4 linked regions of the Drosophila melanogaster genome follow. The protein of the gene in region 3 purifies or fractionates together with the protein of the main gene of each other region. This does not show direct contact. Each region holds a gene or a part of one and is shown on either strand. Other genes may lie near its edges.

Region 1 (7,241 bases), on a different chromosome or scaffold from region 3:
GCCACAAGGGCAGCCTCCATAAACGATCTCCAGTCAGGCCGCCAGCCTTCTCGAACTGCTTGGCTATGAAATTGGAATTGGTAAACAATCCGGCAGCCGATTCTCCAAGGCCAGCACAGACGCCATAGCCAACGGTGGCCAAGTCCACCACCAGACGAGGCTTGTACGTCGTCTGGGCAAAGAGCAGGGGATCAGCCAATACCACCGTTCCAGCTTTGCTCACATCCACAATACCCATCGTCTTGCCATTGAGCAGGGTGACCACATCACCCGGCTTTACAGCCATTCCCGATGGCATATTCTCGCAGAGCGGCAGTACGGCCGTGATGTTTACAGGCAGGGAAAGGGCTGCCGCAGCTCGAACGGCGGCCACACAAACGGCTGCTCCCGCCATGCAGCCGCGGTACATATGCAGGCAATCCTTTGGCCGCAGGCACAATCCGCCACTGTTGTAGGTCAAACCCTTGCCCAACAGCAGAATGGGCCGATCCTCGGGTGCTGTGCCGCAGTAGCTGACCTCCAGGACCACCGGTGGCTCGCAGCTGCCTTTGGCTATCATTAGAAACGAATTGAGATGATTCATTTCTATCCAATCCATGGATCGCACCTCCACGGAAACGCCGCACGGACACAGGGCATCCACCGCCGATTGGGCGAATATGGTGGGGGTCATCTGATTAGCCGGCGAATCGCTCAATCTTCGAGCCAAGTTCTGAGATTCCGCCTTGAAGAGACCCCTCGTCCAGGCATCCACATCCGGTGAGTCGTACAGATCCAGTTTGGGTACCTGAGTGCGATCCTGCTTGCGCTTGTTGCTATTGTAACGCCAGATGGCCAGAGCACTGCCCTCCGCCGCCTGCTCCGGATATTCCATGGAGTCCACAAAGACTTCCGTGCAACCCTGCAGTTGCAATGCCCGAGCTCCGACGCCAGCGGCAACGCGGGCATTCTCCATACCCTCGTCGATATTCTCCAGGTCATTGAAGCCGGCACCTTCTTGGCCCAAACCCACCACAGCCACTGCCCGGAATTCGGCATCCACGTTCATGAAGACCTTACCCTTGCCCAGTTCCCCCTTGATTCCAGTTTCGCGCAACAGCTCCGAGACCTTGCCCTGAGTTCGGTCGTCGAACTTCTCGCCGCTGGACGTCATCTTGACCTCCTTACCGTCGCCCTCCTTGGAGTAGACGCCCACCACCACGCCCTTGATAACAGTCTTGTTGTCACACTTGTCTGCTAATCCCCTCCAGATTTGAGAATCCGCTGGCTGAAGTCTGTGGTTAAAAAGTGGTGTTCCAAACAGATTGTACGATTTCCAGGGTGCCGTGACCTGTTGATATAATCTTGGATTGCGCGTAAAAGCACTGATCATGCGTGTGGATGCCATCTTCGAGATACACGGTGTGTGGTTAGTCCTGGTTAGTCCGCCCTTGCGCACGTCTGGTTAGCTTTTTTAGATCACGAAGTGCCTAACAATTTTGGAATGACAGTTGAAAGTGTGTTCCTCTGTTTGGCCTAAGGCTATACTAACTAGATCATCCAAAACGGAGACAATATCTAACAGGCCCCCTTCGTTTGACAACAATTAATATCAAAGTACCATTTAAGAATCTAATTGAGGCCAGAACATAAAAACCGATCAATTACAATTGTAAAACTTTCGACATACATGTATTTACCCCGAAAAAAGTCATATATATGTATAAACATTTACTCTCCATCAGAGTCGCCTTGATTTGAGGGCTTGAGGCTGCCGAAGACCTTGGCTGGAATGGCCTTTTGTTCGAAGCGCAGTTTCTTCATGACCAGGCCTTCCTCGTCGGTTTTCGTGACCGCTGCACTGGCCTGATTCTCGTTCGTCATCTCGTTCTCCTCATCGTCGTCCTCCTCCTCATCGTCCTCGTCGCTGTCTCCAATGTCGATCTCATCAGGATTGACGACCGTATCCTTTTTATCCTTAGCACCACCCTGAGTCTCACCGCGCACAAACATAATATTCGAGGCCGCCTTCTCGATGGGCTTCTGTTTGGACTCGGCTGCCGCCTGGCGAGCTTTCTCCTCCAGCAATCGCATGGCATCCGGTCCAGCTCCTGCTCCAGCATCCGCAGCCGCTCCGTTGTTTGTGCTCAGGAATTGGGCGGCCATCATGTTCACCTGCGTATTGTAAGTGGCCTGCACAGAGCGCTTGATGCGCAGCATTTCGCGCATTGTGTCTTCGTTGCCGTGACGCACTTCGAACTCCTTCCAAGTTTGCCAAAAGTCTGCAGTGATGCGGGGATCACAAACCTGAAGAATGCAAACAATAATTAGATTAAGTGATGCATTAGAAATCTATATATATTATCATACCTGTGAGCAATGAGCATAGATGGCTCTAGCTCGATCCACTTCGCCCAACTTCGTTTCCAACTCAGCAAACTTAACGCACATGTGGCGCATATTCTGCTCGGGCAGCGATTCGATGGCCTTCTCATAGATCTCGCGGGTACGTGGCAGGCCATAGATCTCGGCTGCCTTCTTTATAAATATGTTGTACATGTCGAACATCTCATCTTCTTTGACAGCAGACGTGGCACGATCATAGACCGACATGGCATGCCGGGCGAGACCGTGCTCCTCTTCCAACTTAGCATACAGTAAATAAAAGTACTTAGCATGCTCGGGAGGACACTGATCCAGGCACTGTTCGAAGAGATCTCTGGCTCGCTCCAGTTTTGTGCCGCCATAGCGCTCCAAAAATTTGGTTAGATAAGAGTTCCAAATGTCGTAGACATTGGGCCACTTGAACAGAGAGATGCCCTTCTCATAGGCTCGGTAGGCTTCCTCAAAGTAGTTGTGCTCCTCGAGGAACATTCCGTAATTGATAATGATCTGTGGCGTACAGATTTTCAGATCAATAATCCGCTCGTAGACGGCTTTGCACGTCTTGAATGTGCCGAATGACTCCTCCAAATCCGCGTACATGGACCACACTTTTAGCGAGCGATGAAGGCGCGCCTGCACCGTTTCCGTATCATCATAATAGGCAATCTTTCGCTTTGGCATGGCCGTCGCCCTTTGCATCAGCTTGAGTGCCGCCTCGAACTGCTGTTGCCGTAACTCCATCTCTGCCCATTCGCACCACACCGCCGCCAGATCCTCTACTTTAACATACTCAACCTCAGTGCCGCGTTCGAAGACCACACGAGCATCCTCCACCTGTCCGTTGGCCTCGTAGAACTTGGCGAACTCCACCCAGAGAGTGTGTAGTTTGCCGACCGCCTGCTTCGGCTGCACTGTTTGCACGGCCTCGGTGTACGTACTGATGATCTCGGCGGGCTTGTCCTCGTACAGTGTCACCCGCTTGTGCCACTCGTGCACGTTGTGCGGATTCTGGCGCAGAAGCACACTATTCAACAGCAGCAAACGGCGCTCCATGAGGTATTCGAAGCGTGAGAGCCGCAGTTCAACGTCAATGTCGTCCTCCTCGGTGGCCGCCTCATTGGCAGCTACCTGCTCCATACGTCTGTTCAGCGAGAGTTCCTCGAACTGTGCGTATTCATCAAAGACTTGGGTGAAGTCTCTTACGGTGGTCACAGTTTGAATGGCTTCCTCGTATATATCTCTTGCCCGATCAAATAAGCCGGAACGCACATAGTAATCCGCCAGAGAGTTCCACAGGTGGCCCAGCTGATCGGTGTAGCGACGCAGCCCACCGCGAATGATGGCGTCCACGTTCAAGGAGTGCACCTTGTGTGGATTCTTCGAGATGAGGTCGCACAATTCGTTCCACAGCTGATGATTGGACTTGCCGTGTTTGGAAACGAAGTGCTCGTTGTCGACGATGTGCGCCAGCTGCTGGGCAGCTTCGTCCAGCCGATCTGCTTCCTGTAGGTAGTCCACATATTCCTCTGTGTCCTCGGGAAAGAGTTTCAGATATCGACGGTAGACTCGCAGTGCTGTTTCCGGCATTTCAAAGCGGCGTACAAACTGCAAATACAGTGGCCAAATCCTGCCGTGCTGCGTGATGGGCAGAGCCCTTAGAGCCCGATCGAAAACGTGCCGGGTGCGGGTAATCTTGCATTGCGAGGTCATGAAGGCACCGTAGTCCATCCAGATACGTGGCATTTTGTGCATAAACACCAGTGCACGTTCGAAGGCACTGTTGACCTCCTCGTACATGGGATCCGTGGGTATCTTGCCGCGCACCTGCTTCCTGCGAGTTCTCAGGTAATTGTGCCAGATCTTATAGCTGCCAGGAAGCTCTTTCAGAGCACGCTCATAGACCATGTTAACACCATTATTCGGCGCCTTCGCTTTGTGATCAATGTAGCGCAGCCAATGTTTTACGGAGTAGGCGTTTCGAAGGATTTCCTCCTCATACGGCACATCCTCCACTTCCTGTGTGTGAAAAACTTGATAGGTTAGTTGTGATTTACATATATTTCATGGTACTTACGAAATTGATCTCTAAATTCAGAGATTTTATCGTTTTTGTCACCATTTTTCGCGATTTTCATGAAATGCCGCAAACAATAATTTTCTCATGCGCGTCCCACGAAAACAGCTGATCGAAATGGCGTTGCCAGAAGGTTTGAAAAGTAGTGGTATTAAGATACCGCAGCTAATACCAAAGTAATTAAATCCTAATTAACATGTAAACAATATTTTAAGAATACAGAAAAATTGTTCATAAAACTAAGATAACTTTGGCTTGTGTACATTTTTTTTACAAATTGTGAACATCTAGAATTTTCTAAGTGCACCTTATTTAAACGTTGAAGTTATGGACAAACCAAAACAATCGTGAATTTTCTAGAGTACCATTGCGGTATATTTTGCCTCCCTTTGAATTGGTATTTCGCCCTTCGTCCGCTGCCCAACACTGGCCTCAGTTTGTGAATTTTTCGTAAGCCCATCTGCAGATGTTTTCGTCGCTGCTGCCAATATTTTGACGTTCATACCGTTTGCGTATTTCGCAGAGACCAGTTAACGCGCTCGTAAAATCGCAAAAAACACACTTAACGCGATCGTTTGTTCTGTTTTTGTAAACACATTGCAATTGGCCTGCATTTTGCATAATTTACGCAACGAAGGCAACTGCGTGAGTGCACCAACACACACACACACACACACAGCCGTGCAAAAGAGAGCCAAAGAGAGTGAGGAGCGCAGGCGAGTTGGCAGCCAAAGGCAAAAAATCAAAGTCTATCGAAAAAAACACTATAAAAATAGATCAAAATGACGCGCTTGAAACATTTCTCAGCATAGAACGACTATCAATCGAATTAAGTTTTAAGTAATACCCAACGACCGTGGAAAAACCAAGCACAGTGGTAAGTAAAAGACGAGGGGAAAACACGAAAAAACACGTCACACGTGTGCGTGTGCTTGCAAGTGTGTGTGTGCGAGCGTGTGAGTGGGTGGGTGTCATAAATATTTTCGCACACACTTGTTCCTGCATTGATTTTATATTTTTCGCACAGGCTCAAACTTGTGTGTGCCGCCGCACTCCAATTGGTCCAGGTAAATCCAATTAGACTGGATCCTAGGTAAAAAAAAACCACCACCGGAAAATCTATTTCCCCGCTTCCCGAACAGCTGTTTATGATGGTTCTCAAAAATTTTCCACTCGCTCTTGTTGCCCGAGGGAAAATTTTGGGCATTTTAGGGCCTCCCGTATTGAATGTAAACAGAAAACACACACGAAAGTGCGGAAAAGCGCTTAGATTTTCCTTGCCGGCTGTGGCCCAATATCTCTCTCTTTGCCACCCCCTCTCTTCGCACTGTTGCCACCCACTAAACTGACACACTAAGCCGCCCGCCAGCAACAACAGCAACAACAAAGGCGGCTAAAACCACTGCAGCTTTGAGCCGCATGCAGCTTTTTTAACTGCCAGCGGAAAAGCTTTATCAATTCAGTTGGCTAAAATCCCAGCAAAGATTCGGGTTTATTTCAAGGAAAACTTTTAATTCTTAAAATTAAAAATGCCCGTTGTTTTCAAATGAGATTTTTTAAAATGATTATTATGTCTAAAAATTGTAAATAATCTAAAAGAGTTGAAAAAACCATAGCATATTCACTTAAAAATAGCTTAAAAACATTGCTAATTATAAAATATCATATTGAGATGACTTCTGCTAACAATATTATATCATATTCAATATTTTGCCCACTGAGAATGAGAATGTGCTGACCACAATTTCCCCTAAGCCACCCACTGCACTTCAACGAATATTCCAGAAACGCTCGGAGAAAGCTTCTCTTGGCCAAAAGCAGCTTTCCTGCCGCTTTTTATAGTCTCATTTATTGATTCCATTCCTCTCTTCTGTTCTTATTTCTACTTGCAGCCAAAGCAACGCATCGACGCATAAACGCTAGTTAATAATAAAAGTGCATAAAATTATTCGTATTCCAACCATCTTCCGTCATCTAAAGTGCTAAAAATTCGTCACCATGTCGCGTTCAAGTAGTTTGTTTTTTAATTCGGCTGCCAAGTTAGAGACTAAAAAACTTAATTGATTCGATCAAGAAAAGTGAGCAACCAGCAGTGAAAATACACAACAGCAGCATAATCACTTTCGAAACCAGTTTTTTCGTAAAGAATCGCGAAGAGTGTTCCAGAAAAGTGCAACATCACATTCCCACACAGTATATGCACACACACACAAACACACTATATATACATATAGGTACATATATAGCAACATCGGAGCATCCAGGGAAACGACCCACAGCACCCACTTCGGTTAATCTCGCTTGGTAATTAAGGGTTCATCGCCTAATGGCAAGTTCGCTCAACAAGACGAGACACAGGCGCAGACTGGCTGCGATCTCGTTCCTATCGAATATCTCGTTAGATGGCACCCATCGGGACACCAAATTCGGCGCAACATTCGGCAGCAGCCTGCTCTGCAACCAGAATAAGAACCCATCCTCGCTGGGACTCGGCTCGGGGGGCTTTCATCCGCACTATCAGCAGCACCACCATCAGCGCAGCCACTCGGCGACGCACCACAACCACCAGAAGCGGCATCACACGCAGCAGCAGCAGCAACAGCAACAACAGCAACACACCCAACAGCAGCAGCAGCAGCAGCAACATCAGCAGCAGCATCAGCAGCAGCAGCAACACCAGAATGGCGCCCTCTGTTCGCCGCTCCTCTGCAGCGCCGATGTCCACATGGGCATCGATGGCGGCATCGGGCTGGGATTGGGACTGGAGGACTGCACCACCGGTGCCAGCGATGGGGACGGGCAT
Region 2 (8,752 bases), 4.5 Mb from region 3:
TTTGAAATTCTTTTCCCAGTGGTACCATCAACTCCATTCGATACGTGTGTTCTGCACTTCCAACTGAGATTTTGCATTTAATCAAAGATGTTCAAAGATGAGGGAAAAGAGCAGGGTAGTTAATTAACCAGATGGTTTTAATTCTAGCTAAAAGTGTTCTTTAAATGTTACGCTGCCGTTTGATGGGAAATTTGTATGAGCAGGTCACAAAATCCTGTCCAACTGATCGGATCTTACTTCTCAACTTATCGTCGAAATTAGTTGATTGCAAGTCCAATACTTTCTAGTTACAAATGTATATATGTGTATATACAATGTTATACAAACTGCCACATGCACACGATTGATTTTGAACAGATTCGAGGATACTTCAGTCCTTAAAAATATACATAAACATACACTATGGTAGTTGGGATAGATACATACACAGGTTTGAAATAAAAGTATTACTACTGAATAGTATTCTTCTCGATACACTGCATATTGGAATTGAGTACGAGTAGCCTAATGTTCGGGTATCCTAATTGAACAAACGACACACAAGTAGATTGCAAATCCATGATGGATCGGATGACTTTCCAGGGTTCACACACGATATACGATATACTTTCTCATGATAATCAATTTTCGCGTAACATTAGTACTAATCCGTCCAAGACATATACTATAAGTTTAATTGATAAATAATAATTGTCGCAAAATCAGCGAAAGCGACTTGCTACAGCCGTATAAACAAACTTACATATTTAATTCGCTTTTTGGCTGGGCAAGCCTTCCAAAATGTGTATAATCTAAAACAATTTGAATTAAATTATAAATAAATAAATGTATCCACTAACAAAGGCGGCCTTGGTTTCATTTCATTACTTCTTAAATTTGAAACCACACACGGAATGCTTGTGGGATTTCAAAAAACATTTCAATACCTCCACAATCGAGTGGAAATATATTTGCAGATCTGCCCTTGTAAAAGGAGATATATTATCAGACAAATTTGCAAAAATTGCAAAATGAAGTTTAATATGCAAACCACTAGGAAATAAAATGCTTAAAGGGTTAAATATTCAAATTCTCAAAATCAGAAAAAAAAAAACGTTTTTCCGTTACCTTAAGACATAAAATGAAGTAAATAAATAACAACATGAAGTAAAATAGCAAAATTTTTTTCCTTTGAGATTTATACAATTATTTTCCCAAGTGTATATTTTAAATGATGAATGCGCATTTTTTGATTTTTTCACTGACGCAGTTTGAGGAAAATGCCCAAACATATGCACATACATATGTACCTATATGTGAATGAATGTAAATTTATGAAGCCCTCGCTCAATTCAAGTAAAACAACATTTTTTCTGAAATCAAACCGTTTCAGAGACTCGAGCGAGTCACACGTAAATTATCCCGATCTGCTAATTAATTGTTTAGTACAGCTTTTTGAACCGAAAACTTGAACACAATCAATGTGAGTGATGACAATTCACAAATTGCATAGATATTGCATAATTGATTCCTTTATAAAACATATTTGAAATCAGTTTTTGTGTTATAGGTGGACATTGTTCAAATCTAATGGAAATTCTAAAATGAACATCAACAGCGATTCGAACCAGGAACAATACTACAGACGAAATATTTTAGGGAAAGTTAATGCTGCAGATTGCGCAAGCTATTCCCATAATTTATTTATTGATTATAAGCTACAATTATTTTTCTGGGCTGCAGTATGCTGCTGCGTTCTCACGTTTTTGATTTGTCTGGCAATATGTATTTCGATATATATATATTTTATACGCTAATCAAAGTTAAAGTTATACGAAGTTCAATCTAAGATAACCACTGTATTTTTATTTATGGGAAAGCCTTTTATTTATGCTCATTTGTTCACATTCGAATGGTTTCTTGTTTATTTCAACTTTGGCGTTGAAAGCGTTTCCGACTATATAAAGCATATATATTATTGATCAGTATCAATAGCCGAGTCGATCTAGCTATGTCCCTCTGTCTGTCTGTCCGTATGAGGAACTATAAAAGCTAGAAGGTTGAGATTCAGCATACAGATTCTAGAGACAAAGACGCAGCGCAAGTTTGGTGACCCATGTTGCCACGCCCACTCTAACGCCCACACTTCTGAACCATTTTTTGAAATTTTTCATAATTTTTTTAGTTGCCAAACTGCGAAAAGACACGCCCACTCTAACGCCCTAGGGCAGCCGAACCGGTCACGCCCACAGTTTGGAACATTTTTTTTAATTTTTCTCATTTTATTCCCCAATATCTATCGATATCCCAGAAAAATGATAAAATTTCGCGTTCGCATTCACACTTGCTGAGTAACGGGTATCTTATAGTCGGGGAACTTGACTATAGCACTCTCTCTTGTTTTTTTTTATTTCCCTTAATGATTACAAGGAACCCTTGCTTCTGAAGGCAAATCTTGATGAGTCACATTATTGACAAAGAAAATATATATTTATATCATATATATTTATTGGGAACGAAAAAAGTTTTGATTATAATGATTGCCTTCGCAACTAAAACTTTAACCTGTAGGAAATACTTGAAGGTTTTATTTTTTCTTCCATTTTATCCAACAAGTTATTTCAAGTTAAACCTTATGGTTAAATCCTGTTTGTAATAGTTTATTATAAGGTCGACTATATAAGTACTTTTAAATAAATACGCAATACGGGAGTCCTATGTTTGTTTATTCATTTCATAAATTTTGGCGATTTTGGCGTTTTCCAAAATAAACAGTAATTTATGGTATAATTACTAAAAAGACAATACTTAAACGATATATTATTCACCCCATCACCGATAGTATCTATAGTCAACTTGCCCAACACTAGCGATTGATGTTGCCATACGCGATTATCGATAGACCCCTCGTGAGTCAAATGCAAACTGACGTATATTTATTACTGGCAAAACAGGCCGGGCAAATTTGTTGAACAAGCAAGAAAGTTTTCGCTTTTTTTAATCCTACATTCCCCGCAATAGCGTGGGAATCTCGTACAGACTCAATTTAAAACACACAACAGCCACAGTTTCGAAAGAGTGCCGAACGGCGGGCTCCCGAACACGGAAAGCGCGAAACGCACACACGACACCATCGCCATACCATAATCATCGCGGCCACGCTCCAAGCTTAGGAATTTTTCAATTCCGGAAACACTGACCAAGCGATCCGTGGTCTAGGAGCAGGTACTATAGGTGAGCATCAGTCCCATCCGAGTTACGTACCTATCGGCCAATGCACATTGCTAACTAGATCTCATCGCGATCCCTGCGGAAACGCAGCATAATCACCTTGGGTGAGAAGAAACAACAGGCGCCATGAGCGTGGACACGTACGCGCCCAGCTCGGCGCTCTCGTTCCTGGACATGGACGACAACGAGCTGCTTCCGGGAGCGGATACTCAACCCACGCAGTACGATTACCGCGACTTTACCATGCCCTCCACCTCGCAGAGCCAGACCCAGAACGATCAGCTGGAGATTGCCGTGAGTTGTCCCCCAAATCATTCCGCGAAACCCAAATGGCATATACCCTTTTTAATTTACAGCAACGCTGCTCTGCCGGAGACTCGCATCCACGACTGGCCAGCATCACCAACGATCTGGCCGATCTGCAGTTCGAAGAGGAGGACGACGAGCCTGGCAGCTCGTATGTGAAGGAGCTGCCGCCGCATGCGTGCAAGTATTGCGGCATCCATGATCCAGCCACGGTGGTCATGTGCAACAACTGCCGCAAATGGTTTTGCAACGGTCGTGGAAGCACTTCCGGTTCGCACATCATCAACCATCTGGTGAGGGCCAAGCATCGCGAGGTGACGCTCCACGGGGAAGGTCCCCTGGGCGAGACAATCCTGGAGTGCTACTCCTGTGGTGTGCGCAACGTCTTTGTGCTGGGCTTCATTCCGGCCAAGGCCGATTCTGTGGTCGTGCTGCTCTGCCGTCAGCCGTGTGCCGCCCAGAATTCGCTAAAGGATATGAACTGGGACCAGGAACAGTGGAAGCCTCTAATTGCAGACCGCTGCTTTTTGGCCTGGCTGGTAAAGCAACCCAGCGAACAGGGACAGCTGCGAGCTCGCCAAATCTCAGCCGCTCAGATCAACAAGCTGGAGGAGCTATGGAAGGAGAATATTGAGGCCACGTTTCAGGATCTGGAGAAGCCAGGCATTGACTCGGAGCCAGCACATGTGCTACTCCGCTACGAGGATGGCTATCAGTACGAGAAGACCTTTGGGCCGCTGGTCCGCCTTGAGGCCGAATACGACCAAAAACTGAAGGAGTCTGCCACGCAGGAGAACATCGAAGTACGCTGGGACGTCGGCCTCAACAAAAAGACCATTGCCTACTTTACGCTGGCGAAGACCGATTCGGACATGAAGCTCATGCATGGCGACGAGCTGCGCCTGCATTATGTGGGCGAGCTGTACAATCCGTGGAGCGAGATCGGCCACGTTATCAAGGTGCCGGACAATTTCGGCGATGACGTCGGCCTGGAGCTGAAATCCTCAACGAATGCCCCGGTTAAGTGCACCAGTAACTTTACGGTGGACTTCATCTGGAAGTGCACGTCATTTGATCGCATGACACGTGCTCTGTGCAAATTCGCCATCGATCGCAATTCAGTGTCGAACTTCATCTACTCGCGCCTGTTGGGCCACGGTCGTGCGGATTCCAACGACGAGGTGCTGTTCCGCGGCCCACAACCCAAGCTCTTCAGTGCCCCGCATCTGCCGGATTTGAATCGCAGCCAGGTGTATGCCGTGAAACACGCGCTTCAGCGTCCGCTCTCGCTAATCCAAGGGCCGCCTGGCACGGGCAAAACCGTGACCTCGGCGACCATCGTTTACCAGCTGGTCAAGCTCCATGGTGGCACAGTGCTGGTGTGCGCTCCCAGCAACACGGCCGTGGATCAGCTAACTGAGAAGATCCACCGAACAAACCTTAAAGTGGTGCGTGTTTGCGCCAAGAGCCGTGAGGCCATCGATAGCCCGGTAAGCTTCCTGGCGCTGCACAACCAAATCCGTAACATGGAGACCAACTCGGAGCTAAAGAAGCTGCAGCAGCTGAAAGACGAGACCGGCGAGCTGAGCTCAGCAGACGAAAAGCGATACCGCAACCTGAAACGTGCCGCCGAGAACCAACTGCTGGAGGCTGCCGACGTTATCTGCTGCACATGCGTAGGCGCCGGCGATGGTCGTCTATCGCGAGTCAAGTTCACCTCGATCCTGATCGATGAGTCTATGCAGTCGACGGAGCCGGAGTGCATGGTGCCAGTGGTGCTGGGCGCTAAGCAGCTGATCCTCGTGGGCGATCACTGCCAGCTGGGACCGGTTGTTATGTGCAAGAAAGCAGCTCGTGCCGGCCTCTCGCAAAGTTTGTTCGAGCGCCTGGTGGTTCTGGGCATCCGTCCGTTCCGGCTGGAGGTGCAATATCGCATGCACCCCGAGCTGTCCCAGTTCCCGTCCAACTTCTTCTACGAGGGATCGCTGCAAAACGGCGTCTGCGCGGAGGATCGTCGCCTTAAGCTTGATTTCCCCTGGCCACAGCCGGAGAGACCGATGTTCTTTCTGGTAACACAGGGACAGGAGGAGATTGCCGGCTCCGGCACCTCTTTCCTCAACCGCACAGAGGCGGCCAACGTGGAAAAGATTACGACGCGATTCCTTAAGGCAGGCATCAAGCCGGAACAAATTGGAATCATCACGCCTTACGAAGGTCAGCGCGCTTACCTGGTGCAGTACATGCAATACCAGGGCAGCCTGCACTCTCGTCTATACCAGGAGATCGAGATCGCCAGTGTGGACGCGTTCCAGGGACGTGAGAAGGACATCATTATCATGTCTTGCGTGCGATCTAACGAACGTCAAGGCATCGGCTTTTTGAACGACCCACGTCGCCTTAATGTTGCCCTTACACGGGCCAAGTTCGGGATCATCATTGTGGGCAATCCCAAAGTGCTCGCCAAGCAGCAGCTGTGGAACCATCTGCTCAACTTCTACAAGGACCGTAAGGTGCTCGTCGAGGGATCTCTGAATAACCTTAAGGAGTCGCTAATCCACTTCCAGAAGCCCAAAAAGCTTGTCAACAGCATGAACATTGGGGCACACTTTATGTCCACCATTATTGCCGATGCCAAGGAAGTGATGGTGCCAGGCTCCATTTACGACCGCAGTGGCGGTTACGGCCAAGGTCGCCAAATGGTGGGACAGTCAATGAATGGCGGACAGTACGGTGGCAGTGGAGGTGGTCCCTACGGAAACTCACCCCTCGGCTACGGTACTCCCAGCTCCAATTCCATGGTGGGCTTTGGCCTGGGCAACGGAGGCAATGGCGCGGCCGGTGGCAACAACAACTTCGGAGGGGCTGGACCCAGTTGGGCGGCTGCCCACCTCCACCACGACTCCATTGGCTATATATCCAACGAGCATGGAGCAGCAGCACTGGGCAACATGCCAGTTCCGGTTGGCATGTTCATGAACATGAGCAATATTCCGCCGCGTTTCTACAACCAGCACCAGCAGGCGATCATGGCGGTCAAGCAGAATCGCGCCATTCAACAACAGACGGGTAATTTCTCTCCCGGTAACTCGGGTCCTGGAGTCACTGGAGTCGGAGTCGGACGAAGCGCCACCCCAGGCGGCAATAAGAAGACCAACAAGCTGGGAAAATCGCGCGTAACGGGCGGTGGAACTGGCGGGGCACCGCTAACACAAGGAAGCTCGGTATGCAATGCTGCTCCATACAGTCAGCACCCGATGCCTTTGTCGCTGCAGATGACCCAGCCCAGCGGATTTGCTCTGTCCCAGCAGCCGGAACTTTCACAGGACTTTGGGCAAATATCGCAGATGGACGGTTTGCTATCCCAGGATGTTGCCTTTAACGCGGTAAGTGTGGAAGTGATATTTTTGAAACCCAAAGAGTGTTAGGTAATCTGAATTATTTGTGTTTCGCAGTCGGGCGAGCGGAGCTTGAATCAGTTCTCACAGCCTTATTGAGAATCCGGTTGGAGGTGCAACAACTACAAACGATAACAAGCAACACAAACGAAACAACAACAAACTCAACTTTGAAGTCATCATCAAGGAGTAGCATCAGTAGGCAGCAGGAAAAAGCAGAGAGGACCATCACGGGAACAACGACAGATGCGGGAAACAATGCGACCTAAGAACATTAGGACAAAGCGGGACATTAAAAGATGGCAAATCGAGACGAGGCAGCGTGATAGATGGAGACGGATATGGCAAGATGTGGAGTTACAAAGTAATAAAGAAGACTGAGACGGGAGAGAGATGTCGAAAGATCGAAATATCGAGAGCAAATCACTGTAGGCTGCCAGGATGCACAGCTGCAGTTGCTGTTTCCGTAGCGCCGCGGGCCATGGAGTCATAGCCAGGCGACATGCCATTGGCCACCGGCCATTGGCCATTGGTCACGAGTGCGCTCCCGAGACGGAGTTCGCCCACGGATGAGCCAATCTGCCAGCAAGGCGCCACACAAGATGGACAACTTCTCGACACGTTTCTTTTCTCTTTTGCCAGCCCAGGATTCGCAGCCGGAGCCTAACAAAGACGCAATCACTCCCGCCCAGGACATGTATTCACCAAGTGGCTTATCTTCTAACCTTCTTCTGGCCTCTAGTGCAGCAGCCAATCTTTAGCTCCTGTTTTAACATTTTCCCACCCAAAGCGGTTTATACCGATCCCCATATATGTATGCCCACTGTTGTACATTTTTGGACTCTTTTTTGATGCATTTGTTATCCTAACAAACACGAAAACAAAATCAAACAAAAACAAGGAAAATCACGCAAACAAAGAATCAAGACGAAACAAAATCAAATTTAAAAAACATGGATACACCATTTATAATCGCTCGGGAACGCTGGCGGATCCCCCCAAGCGGATGCAGGCTTCCAGCGCAGTTCGGATATCGAATGGTTGATAGGAAAACGCATTGCGATTTACCGATCTACATAGGTACACTACAAAAAAAAAAACACCACAAAAAAACAGGCGAACATTAACAAACTGAACCAACGGAGTAAATGATCAGGATCAGAAAAGGTTAGTTATTAATAATATTAATGCAGTTACAGATGCCTGATCATTGTTTTTAAAACGACATGAAAATCGTATATATTTTCTATATATTGTCAGTTAATTCTTCCTCCATGCGACTCTTTGTATCAAGAAAATGGAACATTTTGTTTGAAATTCAAAATAAAGAATTCCCTTGCGAAAAAAAAAAAACCAATATTCGCGCCAAGAATTTTCTCTTTGGGGCACGTGAAAATTGAATTTATATTCGAGTTTCCAGACACTTGGCTGTTTTGTTGCTTTTTAATTTACAGAACTTGCAATTTTACATTTTCGGATGACATGTTGTTTTTCAAATAGATACATACACACCACTGGAGGAACGAACATCGCACACCTCCGTGGCTGTTTACAATAATTAATGGAATGCGAGCAAACAATTCGAGTGTTTAAAGGTATAAATAGGAGAATATAATAACATTTAACAAGATAATGTATGTAATGTAAAAGTGTATTGAAATTCGATTCCAGTCGGGCTGCTTTCACGTTCTTTTCCGTACGGATGATTCGGTTCGGATTCTTTTGAATTTCAATTTACAAGCTTTCCTGTTTCGATTTAACATTGCTGCACATATTACCTATCCATTTAGTTTCTTCATTCTTGTTTCCAAGTACCATAAAGTTGTTGTACTTTCTTTTTA
Region 3 (5,971 bases):
ATTGCGAAATTCAACGATTATATATTAAACTTACAGCAGCAAAAACTATATAGTAGACAAGGGTAGTGGGTAACAAAAACAGAATAGCCGAGAAAAATATGGTAGCTAGATATAATTGCCGATTCATATAGTTGTGGGACTCAGTGCGACCTGAAAAGTATAAGAATTGGTAAAACTTAACATAGTGCTTAGATTGGCAAAAACCTTAAAACATACCTTTTAAAATGTTGTAACGATTGCCTCGAACCACTTGCCATAGAACAGAAAGACCTCTTCTTTCCACATTGTAGAGGCTATGAAAATAATATTATTGTTTGAAAGCGGTCAATATATATTGCAGAAACTTACACTTTGGTATAAATATAGAAGCAATGTGAATGTAAGCCAATAACGGATATTAAGTCCACTAGTAAGGCTATCTGGAATGTAAAACCCAAGCATCCAATCATTCCAATGGCCAAGAAAACTTGTCGTACTAAAGGTTCAATGAAATCTGTAGTAAGAGAACAATGTTATCAATCTTATCATGCATTTAAGTAGACCCAAAAGCTTACCCAAAAATGTTGACCACAGCTCAATATGATATTTGAAGCAGTCGAGAAAGAAATTATTTAAATGTATATTTAGCTTGAGGCCAATGGGACTGCCCTCTAATACTTTCAACAGGCCGTACAATTCGTCAATAACGTACTACAATAGATAAGCAATAAGTTAATGTCACATATGTAAAATCAAATTTGTATGGCGGACATACATGAGATATTTGTATTAGAAAATCACCAGGCTGTGTGGCAAGCGTAAATAGTATTAGCATCAATATAATCCCCAGTATTCTATCAAGAACTATATTAGCCGGTCGAGATCTGCTTGATAGAAACTAAGTAATAGTAATATGATATTTAGCATCATCGATTTAACCCAACTACCTTTTATCACATGCTGTCTGCCATTCCTTGAAATGCTTATAAATAGTTGTGTGAACCATAATGCTGTTGATAAATACATTTTCCGCCATATATTCGAATATCTTAATTGGAGAATCGGCAATGAGTGTTAAGCCATATTGGATACTCTTGTTGGCATTATTGTTTGCCTTGTTTTGGTTGTCAGCAGTTGGTTGATTCAGTCTAGAGAGCTCCAGAAAGTCGCAATCGGTGCTATCATTATCATTGTATTCCAAAGATCGCCTATTTTCAGATTCACCAGATACGAACAGATTTCGTACCATTTGCTTGTCGTAGAGAATCACTTTAATGTGCTTCAGATATTCGGGCGTAATGCCCAAATAAACCAGTGTTATATTCGCCTGACTGCTATTGTATGTGAAACACAATCGCATATTGAACTTAAGAAATTGGTTCTGGTCCGCATTGAAATCCTCGTTGAGAATAGAGCCCAGGAAACGCAGATTGCCCTTTTCATGATTTATGGCCTTGTCACTGAACTCCAAATCTGATGCTTCCAGCACGTAATACGATACGACATTATCTTCATTTATTTGCACTTGGCCGTACAAATTGGTTGACTTATTGAGGTAATAATAGTTGACCGGTAAATATATCTTAATGCTCATAATATAATCGATTAACTGACAAAAACACCGGTATTTCTTCTCTCAATCAAAACAAAACAAATACAGCATGCTTGAGAAGGTGGTATACAATTGAGTGTGACGTCACCGTTTGTTGATTAACAAACTAGGGAGTACAGAATAGTTGCAGAATCGTATATGTCAGATGTCGCTTAAGCGTGTATTTTTATGTATGTATGTATATTATTATTATTATATTATTATGTATGATTATGTATAATAATTTATATAAATATTTTGCAGTAATGGACACCCTACAAGTGAAATTTATGTCGATAAATCGTTCAACGACACTTCGAAACTGCCAGTGTCGCACTGTTAGCCCTCGGCTATCGGTGGTCCATTCCATTGTTTCTCAGTTTTCACGTGTTCTTTTTTAAGTCGTTTCTTTTATATTTGCGTTAATATACGCAATAGAGGGACACATTTTTCTTCGGCATTTTAAAGAGTTAAAATTGTTTTCGTGTTAAGAAATATTAATTTTATTTAGCAACAAGAATGGGATATGATGGTGAGTTCAATGAAGAGAGCAAGTAAAGGGCCGCACTGAATTTGATGCCCAAGTGTGCATAAATAGATGTTTATGTATATATATGTATGCATACATACATACAACTATAAATGTATGCAAAGAAAGTGAAAAATGTGCAACTGAATTTGTTTATCGCGGCAACGCAGCCTGCTCCTTGTTTCATTTTTTTTTATATGTAAAAAAGGTCTGTTGAATTAGGGTTTTGTTAATAATCGCATTCATTCTAGACCGGTTGTTTTTTTTTCTATTTCGATGTTTCGCTCATTCATACATTCATACATACGTACATACGTTGAGTTTTGAGTCTATTTTTAATAGAATACAGTGCATTTCGGGATGGAAATGAATTTTGAAGATAAATATGTGAATATCGACAATAAAGGCGAGTTCTTATGACCATAAATGCTTCTAACCATACACCATACACCGAAATGTGTCCTTGTTCATGGCTTACATATGCGCGTGTGCCCGTGTGTATGGCTAAATTTGTGTGCTCTTCCTGGGTGAGGTGGACAGGGACGGGACACATTTGCGAAAATAGCGATTGGAGAATCAACATATTTAATTCCTATCGTATTTGCAGACCGTGAACGCGATCGCGAGAGACGCCGACATCGTTCCCGCTCTCGGGACCGCCATCGCGAACGCTCCAGGGATCGACGCCATCACCGGAACTCGAGGCGCAAGCCGTCGCTTTATTGGGATGTACCGCCGCCGGGATTCGAGCACATCACCCCGATGCAATACAAAGCCATGCAGGCGTCCGGACAAATCCCGGCAAGCGTTGTGCCGGATACACCACAAACGGCAGTGCCCGTGGTCGGATCGACAATTACCCGACAGGCGCGTCGCCTGTACGTTGGCAACATTCCGTTTGGCGTCACCGAGGAGGAAATGATGGAGTTCTTCAACCAACAGATGCATTTAGTTGGGCTCGCCCAGGCGGCCGGCAGTCCCGTCTTGGCATGCCAAATTAACTTGGACAAAAACTTTGCTTTCCTCGAATTCCGATCGATTGATGAAACCACCCAGGCCATGGCATTCGATGGCATCAATTTGAAGGGGCAGAGCTTAAAGATTAGGCGTCCGCACGATTACCAGCCCATGCCGGGTATAACAGATACGCCGGCAATTAAGCCCGCTGTTGGTAAGTAAACAAATATCCTAATTTTCATTGGCACACGGTCTAATCAAATAACCACCATTCCACATTCCAGTTTCCAGTGGAGTTATTTCGACAGTGGTTCCGGACTCGCCTCACAAAATCTTCATCGGAGGTCTACCAAACTATCTGAATGACGATCAGGTTGGTTCAACATTGAAACGTTTCCATTCGAATTCTCATAAACATTTGTATCTTCTGCTGCTGTAGGTTAAGGAACTGCTTTTGTCGTTTGGCAAGCTACGAGCCTTCAACCTGGTTAAGGATGCCGCTACTGGGTTGAGTAAGGGTTATGCTTTCTGTGAATATGTCGATCTTAGCATCACAGATCAGGTACGAAACTACTTCAAAATTGCAAACAAACACAATCTTAACTCTAACTCTCTTTCGATTCCTAATAAAATTTGTAGTCGATTGCTGGCCTAAATGGAATGCAGCTGGGTGACAAAAAACTGATTGTCCAACGAGCCAGTGTGGGCGCCAAGAATGCCCAGAACGCGGCCAACACCACGCAGTCCGTAATGCTCCAAGTGCCGGGCCTGTCCAATGTGGTGACCTCTGGACCGCCGACTGAGGTTCTTTGCTTGCTCAACATGGTCACGCCCGATGAACTGCGGGACGAGGAGGAGTACGAGGACATCTTGGAGGACATCAAGGAGGAGTGCACGAAATACGGAGTCGTGCGGAGCGTGGAAATTCCACGTCCCATCGAGGGCGTCGAAGTTCCCGGTTGCGGCAAGGTCTTTGTCGAATTCAACTCGGTTCTCGACTGTCAGAAGGCGCAGCAAGCACTTACTGGACGTAAATTCAGCGACCGCGTTGTGGTCACATCATATTTCGATCCCGACAAATACCACAGACGCGAGTTTTAGATACAAGTAAATCATATATCTCACATTCACCATTTGTCCAATAAATATCAGAATAAAAGTAAAATTTTGACTACGAAAATACGAAGATACCATGAAATAGAAAGGGATAGTCGCTTATTTCATTGTGAGCCGGAAGTTGGAAACGAAAACTCCAAATGCTTCTAATGGGTTGAAACTGTACGTGAGTTTAAGGGTATATAACATAACTACTTCATTCGGTGGCTTCCTCAATTCTCAGAAATCCAACATATAGAAACAACTTTGTATATATATAGACAGCTAACGCCGGATAAACATTTATTTGGCATTAAATAATTATGAATGTATACGTATGGTGTGTGTTTACTGAATTATAAGGCAATTACAAAAACAGTTGAAAATATCTATTAGACGTACAGATACAAATCACTTAAAAACGGAACGTACAAATGAAATACATTTTGGGTACATATACACATACATATATACTAAGCATGATTTGCTAATGCGCTCAAACGCGCAAAATGTCCAAATTAGAACTATTGTGCGAATGGAAACAGCAGAATGTTTGTTAAATAATTAAATGCGAGTGCAAGACAAATGATATCGATCGTTTCAGTGGGGCATTCGTATGGAATGCAAATAGTTTCAGATTAAAATCCTAAATGATTCGCATAGGGAGCACAATTTCCACTTCTTAAATCGACTAGTGCATTTTATGAATATCTAGATATATAAATTATATAATGCATTTAGTAATAATACGTCTATTGAACTTAGGCTTTAGATATTTAGATTTCGCAGTTTAGAGAAGAAGCTAAGTTAGAACTTTGATTTTATAAAAAATAGATATCTTTGAGCTATATTATTATTTTTCAAATATTTGTTATTTTAGCAACAGGTGTACTTCAATAGTTAACGTTCAAACATTTAAAATTTCGATCATTTCGAATTTTAAGGCACGTTCATTTAAATGTAATTGAATAATTACATTTTATTTTAATATTGTTTGCAAACTTTTAGTTTTTGTAACATTAGCTACAACAATCGTGGTTAAATAACATAGACACAATTATGTGGTATATCGTAATTGTTAAACAACTGGAAGACATATGTAATCAAAGTGGTTTAAATTTCCTTTGCCCTTTTTTTTTTATAAATTGTATTATTACTTTAAGCTTTAAAAGAGAAAATAAAAAAGGTAAATGCTAAATGATTGAAATGCTGTTTGAGTATTTGTGCTAAGAGAAAGGTCTAAAATAGTTTTCCAGATAACATATGAAAGTGGTCTATTTTCTTCAGTTAAAAGTCTTTAAGAAGATTGTAATATAATACTTATGAAAAGCTGATCCTGAAACTGAATATCAAATGCCCATTAAATTGATGCCAATTGAGCTGTTTATGAATTGTTTCTATTTCTAATTTTGGAATCAACTTAATGTACTTAACTTTTGATGGTAAAACTGGTAAAATGGAAATAGCTCAAGTTCCCTAAATCGAAATCAAATCAAATCTGGTTTGCTTATGCTTATAATGAGGTGACGAATAGTTAAAACATATTCGTATCATTCTATTCTCCTGAATCAATCTCACGCACAAATACAACATTTAGAGGACAACAGACTTGAATGCTTAGTGTTATGGAAAAGTGTACAAATTATACGGATTACATAAACTTGATTTCAGTTCCAGGAGTTCAGAATTCATTGTTACCATTTGAATACTCATTGTATAGTATGAACTAACCATAACTGCTGATGTGTATAGAAAGTAATCTAAATCTAAATCATACGTTTCAGATCCTAAGCTTTTTAGACAAATTACAAGTGAGAGAA
Region 4 (7,668 bases), on a different chromosome or scaffold from region 3:
TTGGATTGGTGCGCAATGGACGCAACTTCATCCACCGTGGCTATGTGGGTGATATCCAGACTGGACCGTTTTGTGGCTTCGGGCTGCGCACCGTGGAGGAGCGAATGCATCATTCTGTGCACGGTGATAATGATTATCGTGCTACCGATATAACAGAACGCAATCTCATGGAATTCTTCCATGAATTGCTGACCCAGACAGCCTACGAGCATGATACCACTCGTTCCCGACGGTATGGCTCTGTTCAGCTGCTGATGACGCCCTTGTTGAACCACCAGGAAGAGGACGCTGCTGGGCAAGCGGCTTACGATAAGCCATGGATCCACGTGCCCGGAGTAACAGTGCACTTTGTGTCGCCCATGGAGATGGAGCAGCTGAAAAAGGGTGCAGCTCATTGGAACAATATGTTTGATATCGTCTTTATGGCCTATAACTATTACTCTTTCTTGAGCAAGGACTTCTTCCAGGCGATGCGTGCGCAATCACTTTTTATTCTGGAAACCAAGCTGATGACGGTGGAGCGCAAAGATCGTGTGCAGGAGTACGAATCCAAAGCTAAAGAACTGATGAAGGATGCTGGCCTTAAGGCGGCCATCAACTACCAGGCCATCAACGGCAAGAACATGTGGCTAAAATACAAAAAGACCGATAAAGATGAACAAGAAGATGAAGCCGTGACAGAAGCCATGCCAGAAAGTACTTTCAAATATGACACAGACACAGATTATGGTGAACCTGCTGAAGAGTATACTGGTCTAGTAATTGAAGAGATTCCCTCATCGAATCAGACTGTGGCAGCCATTAAGAAGGAAGTGGAGGCAGAAGGTCCCCTACAACCAAAAACTAACTTCCCATGAATAAGAAATCCGAATCCGAATAAAATGAAATATGCATCTTAATGAATACAACGAGTAACTTTAATTTTGTCTCTGCTTTTTCTTTTGCTTCCCCGTTGCCCAAGTGTCCAGTTGGAACTCCAAGCCCTCCCGTCGCTGCCTTACATTCTGCGGAGTTGCATAGGAGGTAGCCTGCCGGCGATTCTCGTCAAAATCAAACAGATGATCGATTCGCATATTAAGCTTCCTGGCCCGCGTGCCTGTGCTCCAATGATCTTTCTCCCTGCGCGGCTGGAATTCGTTTTGCACGACCTTCCGACGGGGCACATGCTTCAAGGCCGTATCCCAGTCGCCGGTTTTCTTGAGGTCCAGCATAATGTTGATCATCTGGTTTAGAGTTAGCGACTTTCCCGAACCGGAACCCCACTGTAGGTAGCGATCCAGGGGCAGTCTCGCCATCCGAAGGCCCAATCGTTTGGCTTTGGCCAGCGAAAGGGGTTCGTTGTTCATAGTGTCTACCATGGCGCCCACGATGTAGATGTCATCTGGGTTGTAAGTGACCAGATCCTCCCGGCAGTGGGGCGTTAGGTAGACCAGGTTCTGCTTGGGAAAGAGTTCCGTAAAGCACTTGCTATGCAAATTTATCGGGAACTCTGGATTGTGCATGGTGGGGATGTAGCGTTGGAGGCTCTGCATGCATCTGCTGTCCATCTGGGTGTTGCAATAGTGCAGATCGAAGGGCTCATCATTCATCCGGTTCTCCGCAAAGCACATCATCAATTGCTTTGCTGCATAGGTAGCCTCCCGATTGTTCATGTGCTCATCGTAGGAGCAATCCAAAACCATTTTGGGGGCAAACTGCATGGCCCGTGTGAGTCGGTTGTTCTGCCAGTGATTAATAGTGGTATCATAGATACGCAGAAACAACGATGTGTGTCCCAGGCCATAGATAATGTGCGTATTCTCCTCGCGCTCCTTTCGCATCTCCGCAACCCGCCGCTCGGCTTCCTTCGCTCGCTCTGCCTTCTTGCGTTGATCCGCCTCCTTCTTCATCTCGATTTGCCAGAGATAGCCAAAGTACTTGATCCTAGCTGATTTTGTGGGTAGCGTCAGCACGTGCTCCCAATGATGATCCTTAAAGAATTCCAGTGACGGCACCCGCCGACCCTCCTGGTGGGCAATGTCCGCCTCCAGCTGCAGCACCTTGAGTCGCTTATCCCGTTCCTCCTTGTTCTCTGATATCGTATCATTACTTAACGCAGGAGCGGGCTGGGAAAACGGATTGACGAACTTTTTTTGGGGTTCCTCTGTGCCGGCTATCAGGTTCTCTGCGCTGGAGGTTTTGGAGGCTTGCCTCACTGGTGCGGCACATCCCTTTAGCAACTGGCTGCCCAGACGCCATCGTGCAAAATGCTTCAGCATTTTAAAAATATACCTTAATGGCAGTAAACTATGTTATAAAACTAGATCGTGAATTGAATAACAGAAACAACGTGCTAGGGTTGCCAGCAATTATGGATTGTGCGTGCGGAACTGTGATTGGCAAAACGGTGAGATAGCTGATTGATTTAAGATATGTTACTCACTTCTCTATCAGTAAATGTCATTTATCTATAAAAACTATTGTTATGGATTAAATACTTATTGAATGTGTTGTGTTATCAATAAAATAAATTGTTTAAATTCTAGCTAGTTTTTTCTGTGCAAATTTCTAGCCAAAATCCATTTGATCTGGCAGCCCTGTGCTCGAAACTCCCGCGTCGCCGAGTAACTGGCATAATAAGAAGAAGCGGCTTTGCCGACAATTTTGCGCTTGGCTCGGGAAAAACGTGTAAAACATTTAATTTACCAACAAGACTACGCGAAAAGCGACATAATCACAAACAGCAATGGCTTTGGTTTGCGCACGTAAGTGAATAATTTAGATTTTGATTTGAATTGGGCCATTATGAATCGCACTTTCCATTCCAAGTGACAAACGAAGTCCCCGAGACGCCCGTGGTTTCCCCGCACTCGGGAGCCGTTTTCGAAAAGCGGGTGATTGAGAAGTATCTGTTAGAGAATGGCTGCGATCCCATTAGCGGCAAGGAGCTGAAGCCGGAGGAGCTGATCGAGATCAAGACGCCGGCTGTGGTGAAACCGAAACCGCCAAGTGCCACCAGCATTCCGGCCACTTTGAAAACGATGCAGGACGAGTGGGACGCCCTCATGATTCACTCGTTCACACAACGCCAGCAGCTGCAAACGACGCGCCAGGAGTTGTCCCATGCGCTGTATCAGCACGATGCCGCCTGTCGTGTGATTGCCCGCCTCAATAAGGAGGTGGCCGCCGCTCGCGAAGCTCTGGCCACGTTGAAACCGCAGGCGGGCATTGCCAACGCACCCACGGCAATACCACAACCGGCCCTGGCCTCTGAGGCTGGCGGAGCTGCTGCCCATCCCATGGAGCAGGCGGGCATGAGCGCCGAGGTCATACAGAAACTGCAGGACAAGGCCACGGTGCTGACGCAGGAGCGTAAGAAGCGCGGACGCACTGTGCCCGAGGATCTGGTTACAACGGATCAGGTTAAGAACTTCCTTACTGTGGCATCCCATCCCGGCCTACACTCGGCCTCCGTTCCCGGCATTCTGGCCTTGGACATCAACAGTGCTGATCACAGTAAGATTCTGACCGGAGGCAACGATAAAAACGCCACCGTGTTCAACAAGGACACAGAGCAGATGGTGGCCATCCTGAAGGGACACACCAAGAAGATCACCAAAGTCATATATCATCCTAACGAGGATACAGTCATAACCGGCTCGCCCGACATGAACATACGCATCTGGCACGTGCCCACTTCGCAGACGCAGCTTCTCCTGCGCTGCCACGAAGGACCTGTTACTGGCCTTTCGCTGCACCCCACTGGCGACTACTTGCTGTCCACATCATCCGACAAACACTGGGCATTCTCCGATATCCGCACAGGACGCCTGCTCACCAAGGTAATCGATACCGCCGAAGTCGGGCTGACGACAGCGCAATTCCATCCTGATGGTCTGATCTTCGGTACGGGCACCGTGGACTCGCAGGTTAAGATCTGGGATTTGAAGGAGCAGAGCAATGTGGCCAACTTCCCTGGTCATACCGGTCCCATTTCGGCCATCTCCTTCTCGGAGAACGGTTACTACCTGGCCACCGCTGCAGATGATGCCTGCGTTAAGCTGTGGGATCTGCGAAAGCTGAAGAACTTTAAGACAATCCAGCTTGATGACGGCTACGAGGTCAAGGATCTGTGCTTCGACCAAAGCGGAACCTATCTGGCTATCGCCGGCAGCGATGTCAGGTAAGTGAATTGTACTTTTCTTATTGAAATCATTCAGAATGAGGTTAAAATAAGTTTTAAATTGTATTCATTTAATGTTTTAAGTATGGTGTTGTTGTCTAGCTTAGACTTTATTTTTCCATCGTTGCTCAACCTGCTGATCATGATGCTTCTTGAAATGCGCCATCCAGTTGTGTAGCCGGTTCTGCTTGACTAACGCACGGCGAGACATTTCCTTCTCCGCTGCCATGCGACGTCGAACCTGCTGCTCGACACTTCGCAGCTTGCTCGGTTCGATGTGGTCCAGTTTAGCCAAGAGCTCCAAAACGTAGCCCTGGATTTTCTCCACCTTGGCAAGAGTCGTGTCCTGTTCGTCCGCGTATGTAGACTTGGGTGGCGGTGGTGGAGGCTGCATGTCTTCCAGTGTTCGCCATTGCTTGGACGACTTCTGGGCTGCTGGCTTGGATGGCGGCTGCGTAACCTCTCGCTTTTGCTCCGGCTTAACTTTGTTTTGGATTTGCTTGAGAATAATTGGTACAATAGCATTTAGCTTGATATTCAGCTTGCTGGAAATTAAGAATATAAAATAGTTGATTCAAATATGTACGCATCCCAACTCACTCCTTGCAGTATCTCTGCTCGAAGTCATTTAATAGACCCTTGGCACGCTCCTGAAGACCTGCCACCCGTCGCTGCAGGAACTCGGGATCCTTGAGGAACACATTGGCTTTCACCTGACGCTCGTACGTCTTCTGGGCCTTGTCATGGAGGATGGCTACGATGTGGTTCAAGATTGCCAACTGAGAAAAGCGCCTGTTGTAGTTGGACACCTTTAAGCGATTTCTCTCATAGCCACGTATCCAAATCTCTGCATTGAGATGATTCCGCTTTGCCAAATACGGACGCACTATCTTCTCCATGTAGTCTTGGACTTGACGCACTTGCTCGAGACCCGCTGGATGTCGTTCGGTGATCTCCATGGCTACGATTTCCTGCGGCATGCTAAGCCTATTGCTGGCATCGTCTCCCTCGGTTTGCTCCTCCTCAACTGTGTCATCAAAGTAGCTGATCAGTTTGAGTAAATACTGAAAGCGACCGTAGACCTCCTGCACTTCCATCAGCACTCGCTGATGCTCCAGCTTCACCTCGTTCAGCTCTTCGCTCAGTTTGCTTTCCTTCAGTGTCTTCAGCTTTTCTTGGGCCTCTAACATTTTCTTAAACTCCTCCGCTTCCATTTTCTTGAGCGACTCCTCTGCAAACTTGTGAAACTCCTCGGCCTTTTCGTATACATTGTCTTGGTATTCCTTCTCGCGTTTTCGGTCCAAAAAAAGTTCTTGCGTAGCATAGTACATAAAGCGATTGCGGGTAATCTCCCTCAAGAGTAGGATGTCCCTGAAAAAGCTGTGAAATTGCACCAGCACATAATTCATTTGATTCCTTACGTTTTCATGCGAAATTTTCTGGCCAAACGTTGCGCACTGGCGTCCTTAATATAATCGGGATCGATGGTGGTGACCACACAAGGAGCACGGGGATTGGCGATCTCTCCGCGCTGAGGAATATTAATAAAACTTAACTTTGGAAATATAAAAATTAATTATTTCGCACCGCATTGAAGTCCTCAATCGATAAGTTTATGGGCTTTGGAGGCTCCGGTTCCACATGGGTCTTGGGTCGCACGAAATCTTGAAGAGCAGCATGCATTTTTAAGTCTTCGCATATTAGAATATAATACTTACTTTCATATTCGCGGTAAACTTTTCTTTTAAACTTTCGCATTGTTAAGTTAAATTCGCCAAAGAAGATTCCCTTAGTTAACTTGTTTATTTGGTTGCCACGGTACAAATACAAATTCTGACGGTTGCTTCGTTTTATTTACAGGGTTTACCTGTGCAAGCAGTGGCAGGAACTGAAGGTATTCAACGACCACACGGCCCTGGCAACGGGCGTGAGATTCGGCAAGCACGCCCAGTATCTGGCATCCACCAGCATGGACCGCACCCTGAAGCTCTACGCCATCGAATAAGTCCACACTTAGTAATTAAGTCCAAAATTTTCTTATACAATATTCCCTAATGATTGTGTGTTTTCTTGAACAAATCTTGCAGAATAATAAACCTGACCCTCTATCCAAATAATTCAGAATACGAAATATCTTTGGGTTACTTTTGGAAACCAGCAGACAAGTTTTTCCTTAAATACTAACAAAATCCTTAAAGATTCATAATTTCAAGTACTAATATATTATCGTTTAAACTTTTCCGCAGACTATTCATATTCATTTGATTCACTTTTGATGCATACACTTATTAACTTATTCATTTCGGAACTTGGTACATCATTGTTTTATCCTTATGAGGCCGAGATCTGCTTAAGCGGTCGCTCCAAATAGGAGGCCAGTGACATGGCCTTTTGCTTCAGAAGACCCAATCCCACCGTTTGCTTGGCGTACAGGCACAAAAGGACACTGGCAACCTGTAAAAAGGAATATAGTTAAGATTTTATAGAACGAATCCCTGCTAAAAAAAAGAGGATCACCCACCTGTGTGATGGCCACATGACCGTTTTCACAATCGATGAGCACGAAAGTGAGGCGACCTTCGCGAAAGGCGTTGCGTCCATGCTTCTCGTAGGCCGCCCATATGTTGCTGGCTATGGCCGCCGTTATCCTGGCATCCTTATCGCCATAACCGGAGTAGGCCAATAGAGCTCCCTCCTGGCTGAGCAGGCTGTGGATGCAGGGATAAGTGATATTTGAAGGAATGGCATGGTAAGGGACTATCCTACAGGGTGTTCTCCACTCCGCCGGTGTTCGCCTGGCTGAGAACCTGCGTCAAAGCTTTGGGTTTCAACATTTTGTGTATTTTTAAAGAGGGAAAATATAAAAAACAACAGAACTACGCCTTCACAAACACTGCATTCTGAATGGCAACAAATTCAGCTGATAAGGTGTGCGCGTTGCGCTGTGAGTGACAATGGCAAATGTAGCGCCATCTATATGACGATTTAAAGTATATAAACAAATGAATTTTTCAAATTAAGATGATTCGTTTTTGTAATCAATATTTATTATTATATGTTTTCGGTTGGGAAATAGGAAACATTCATTTTTTTTCTTTGGTTTCGTAACTTGATAATAATATAGAAACAAAGAGATACGTTTTTTAAGAGAATATACCATTTACAAATTAGATATTAACGTAATGAAAACGCAATATTTGAATTTATAGAGGATTTTATAACTTTTCAAATTTTCCAAACAATAACTGCATAGTTAACTTGAACACACCAAATAAACTCAAGCTTTTAATTTATTCCAAGCACCTAAAAAATGTTTTTATATTTTTTGTTTTTAATATTTCTATCCCCTACTTACAAATGCTGACTCAGACCATAATCCCCAAATAGTTATGCTTCGTTCTATCAGTTACTTTCTTCAGAGGCACTTATCTCGCCCATTCAATTGCTAAAATGGCAGCCAAGCTATCTGCGTTCCATACATAACTTCCGCATAACGAGAATTTAAA

Evidence for each region.
Region 1: the proteins of U2af50 (region 3) and fand purify together in Drosophila melanogaster (affinity purification with western blotting; one study listed by BioGRID). This does not show direct contact.
Region 2: the proteins of U2af50 (region 3) and Upf1 purify together in Drosophila melanogaster (affinity purification with western blotting, with the first as the bait; one study listed by BioGRID). This does not show direct contact.
Region 4: the proteins of U2af50 (region 3) and Prp19 purify together in Drosophila melanogaster (affinity purification with western blotting; one study listed by BioGRID). This does not show direct contact.

What each region holds. Positions count from the first base shown.
Region 1 is NT_033778.4:13,590,968-13,598,208, reverse strand, and holds fand (fandango), read right to left. Parts: upstream 4,566-7,241; 5' UTR 4,484-4,565; coding exon 4,439-4,483; intron 4,381-4,438; coding exon 2,350-4,380; intron 2,287-2,349; coding exon 1,711-2,286; 3' UTR 1,652-1,710; downstream 1-1,651. Other genes in the region: S-Lap5 (Sperm-Leucylaminopeptidase 5), read right to left, coding at 1-1,387; CG45088 (uncharacterized protein), read left to right, coding at 6,437-6,502; CG6191 (uncharacterized protein), read left to right, coding at 6,765-7,241. UniProt on the Drosophila melanogaster protein: Subunit of the NTC(Nineteen)/Prp19 complex, which is part of the spliceosome. The complex participates in spliceosome assembly, its remodeling and is required for efficient spliceosome activation. Essential for efficient pre-mRNA splicing.
Region 2 is NC_004354.4:11,899,496-11,908,247, reverse strand, and holds Upf1 (Upf1 RNA helicase), read left to right. Parts: upstream 1-2,876; 5' UTR 2,877-3,213; intron 3,214-3,271; 5' UTR 3,272-3,336; coding exon 3,337-3,504; intron 3,505-3,566; coding exon 3,567-6,899; intron 6,900-6,968; coding exon 6,969-7,010; 3' UTR 7,011-8,252; downstream 8,253-8,752. Other genes in the region: CG43156 (uncharacterized protein), read left to right, coding at 1,584-1,796. UniProt on the Drosophila melanogaster protein: RNA-dependent helicase and ATPase required for nonsense-mediated decay (NMD) of mRNAs containing premature stop codons.
Region 3 is NC_004354.4:16,354,942-16,360,912, reverse strand, and holds U2af50 (U2 small nuclear riboprotein auxiliary factor 50), read left to right. Parts: upstream 1-2,459; coding exon 2,460-2,505; intron 2,506-2,706; coding exon 2,707-3,270; intron 3,271-3,340; coding exon 3,341-3,429; intron 3,430-3,495; coding exon 3,496-3,618; intron 3,619-3,695; coding exon 3,696-4,157; 3' UTR 4,158-4,217; downstream 4,218-5,971. Other genes in the region: PIG-Q (phosphatidylinositol glycan anchor biosynthesis class Q), read right to left, coding at 35-150, 217-293, 349-493, 555-690, 755-863, 927-1,573. UniProt on the Drosophila melanogaster protein: Necessary for the splicing of pre-mRNA. Binds to the polypyrimidine tract of introns early during spliceosome assembly.
Region 4 is NT_033778.4:18,445,966-18,453,633, reverse strand, and holds Prp19 (Pre-RNA processing factor 19), read left to right. Parts: upstream 1-2,592; 5' UTR 2,593-2,725; coding exon 2,726-2,744; intron 2,745-2,808; coding exon 2,809-4,162; intron 4,163-4,213; exon of another isoform or gene 4,214-4,265; coding exon of another isoform or gene 4,266-4,707; intron 4,708-4,762; coding exon of another isoform or gene 4,763-5,533; intron 5,534-5,583; coding exon of another isoform or gene 5,584-5,693; intron 5,694-5,749; coding exon of another isoform or gene 5,750-5,826; intron 5,827-5,880; coding exon of another isoform or gene 5,881-5,920; exon of another isoform or gene 5,921-6,022; coding exon 6,023-6,167; 3' UTR 6,168-6,273; downstream 6,274-7,668. Other genes in the region: Dnaaf3 (dynein axonemal assembly factor 3), read left to right, coding at 1-857; rswl (roswell), read right to left, coding at 918-2,258; CG30120 (uncharacterized protein), read right to left, coding at 4,266-4,707, 4,763-5,533, 5,584-5,693, 5,750-5,826, 5,881-5,920; Lamtor2 (late endosomal/lysosomal adaptor, MAPK and MTOR activator 2), read right to left, coding at 6,494-6,616, 6,684-6,870, 6,929-6,996.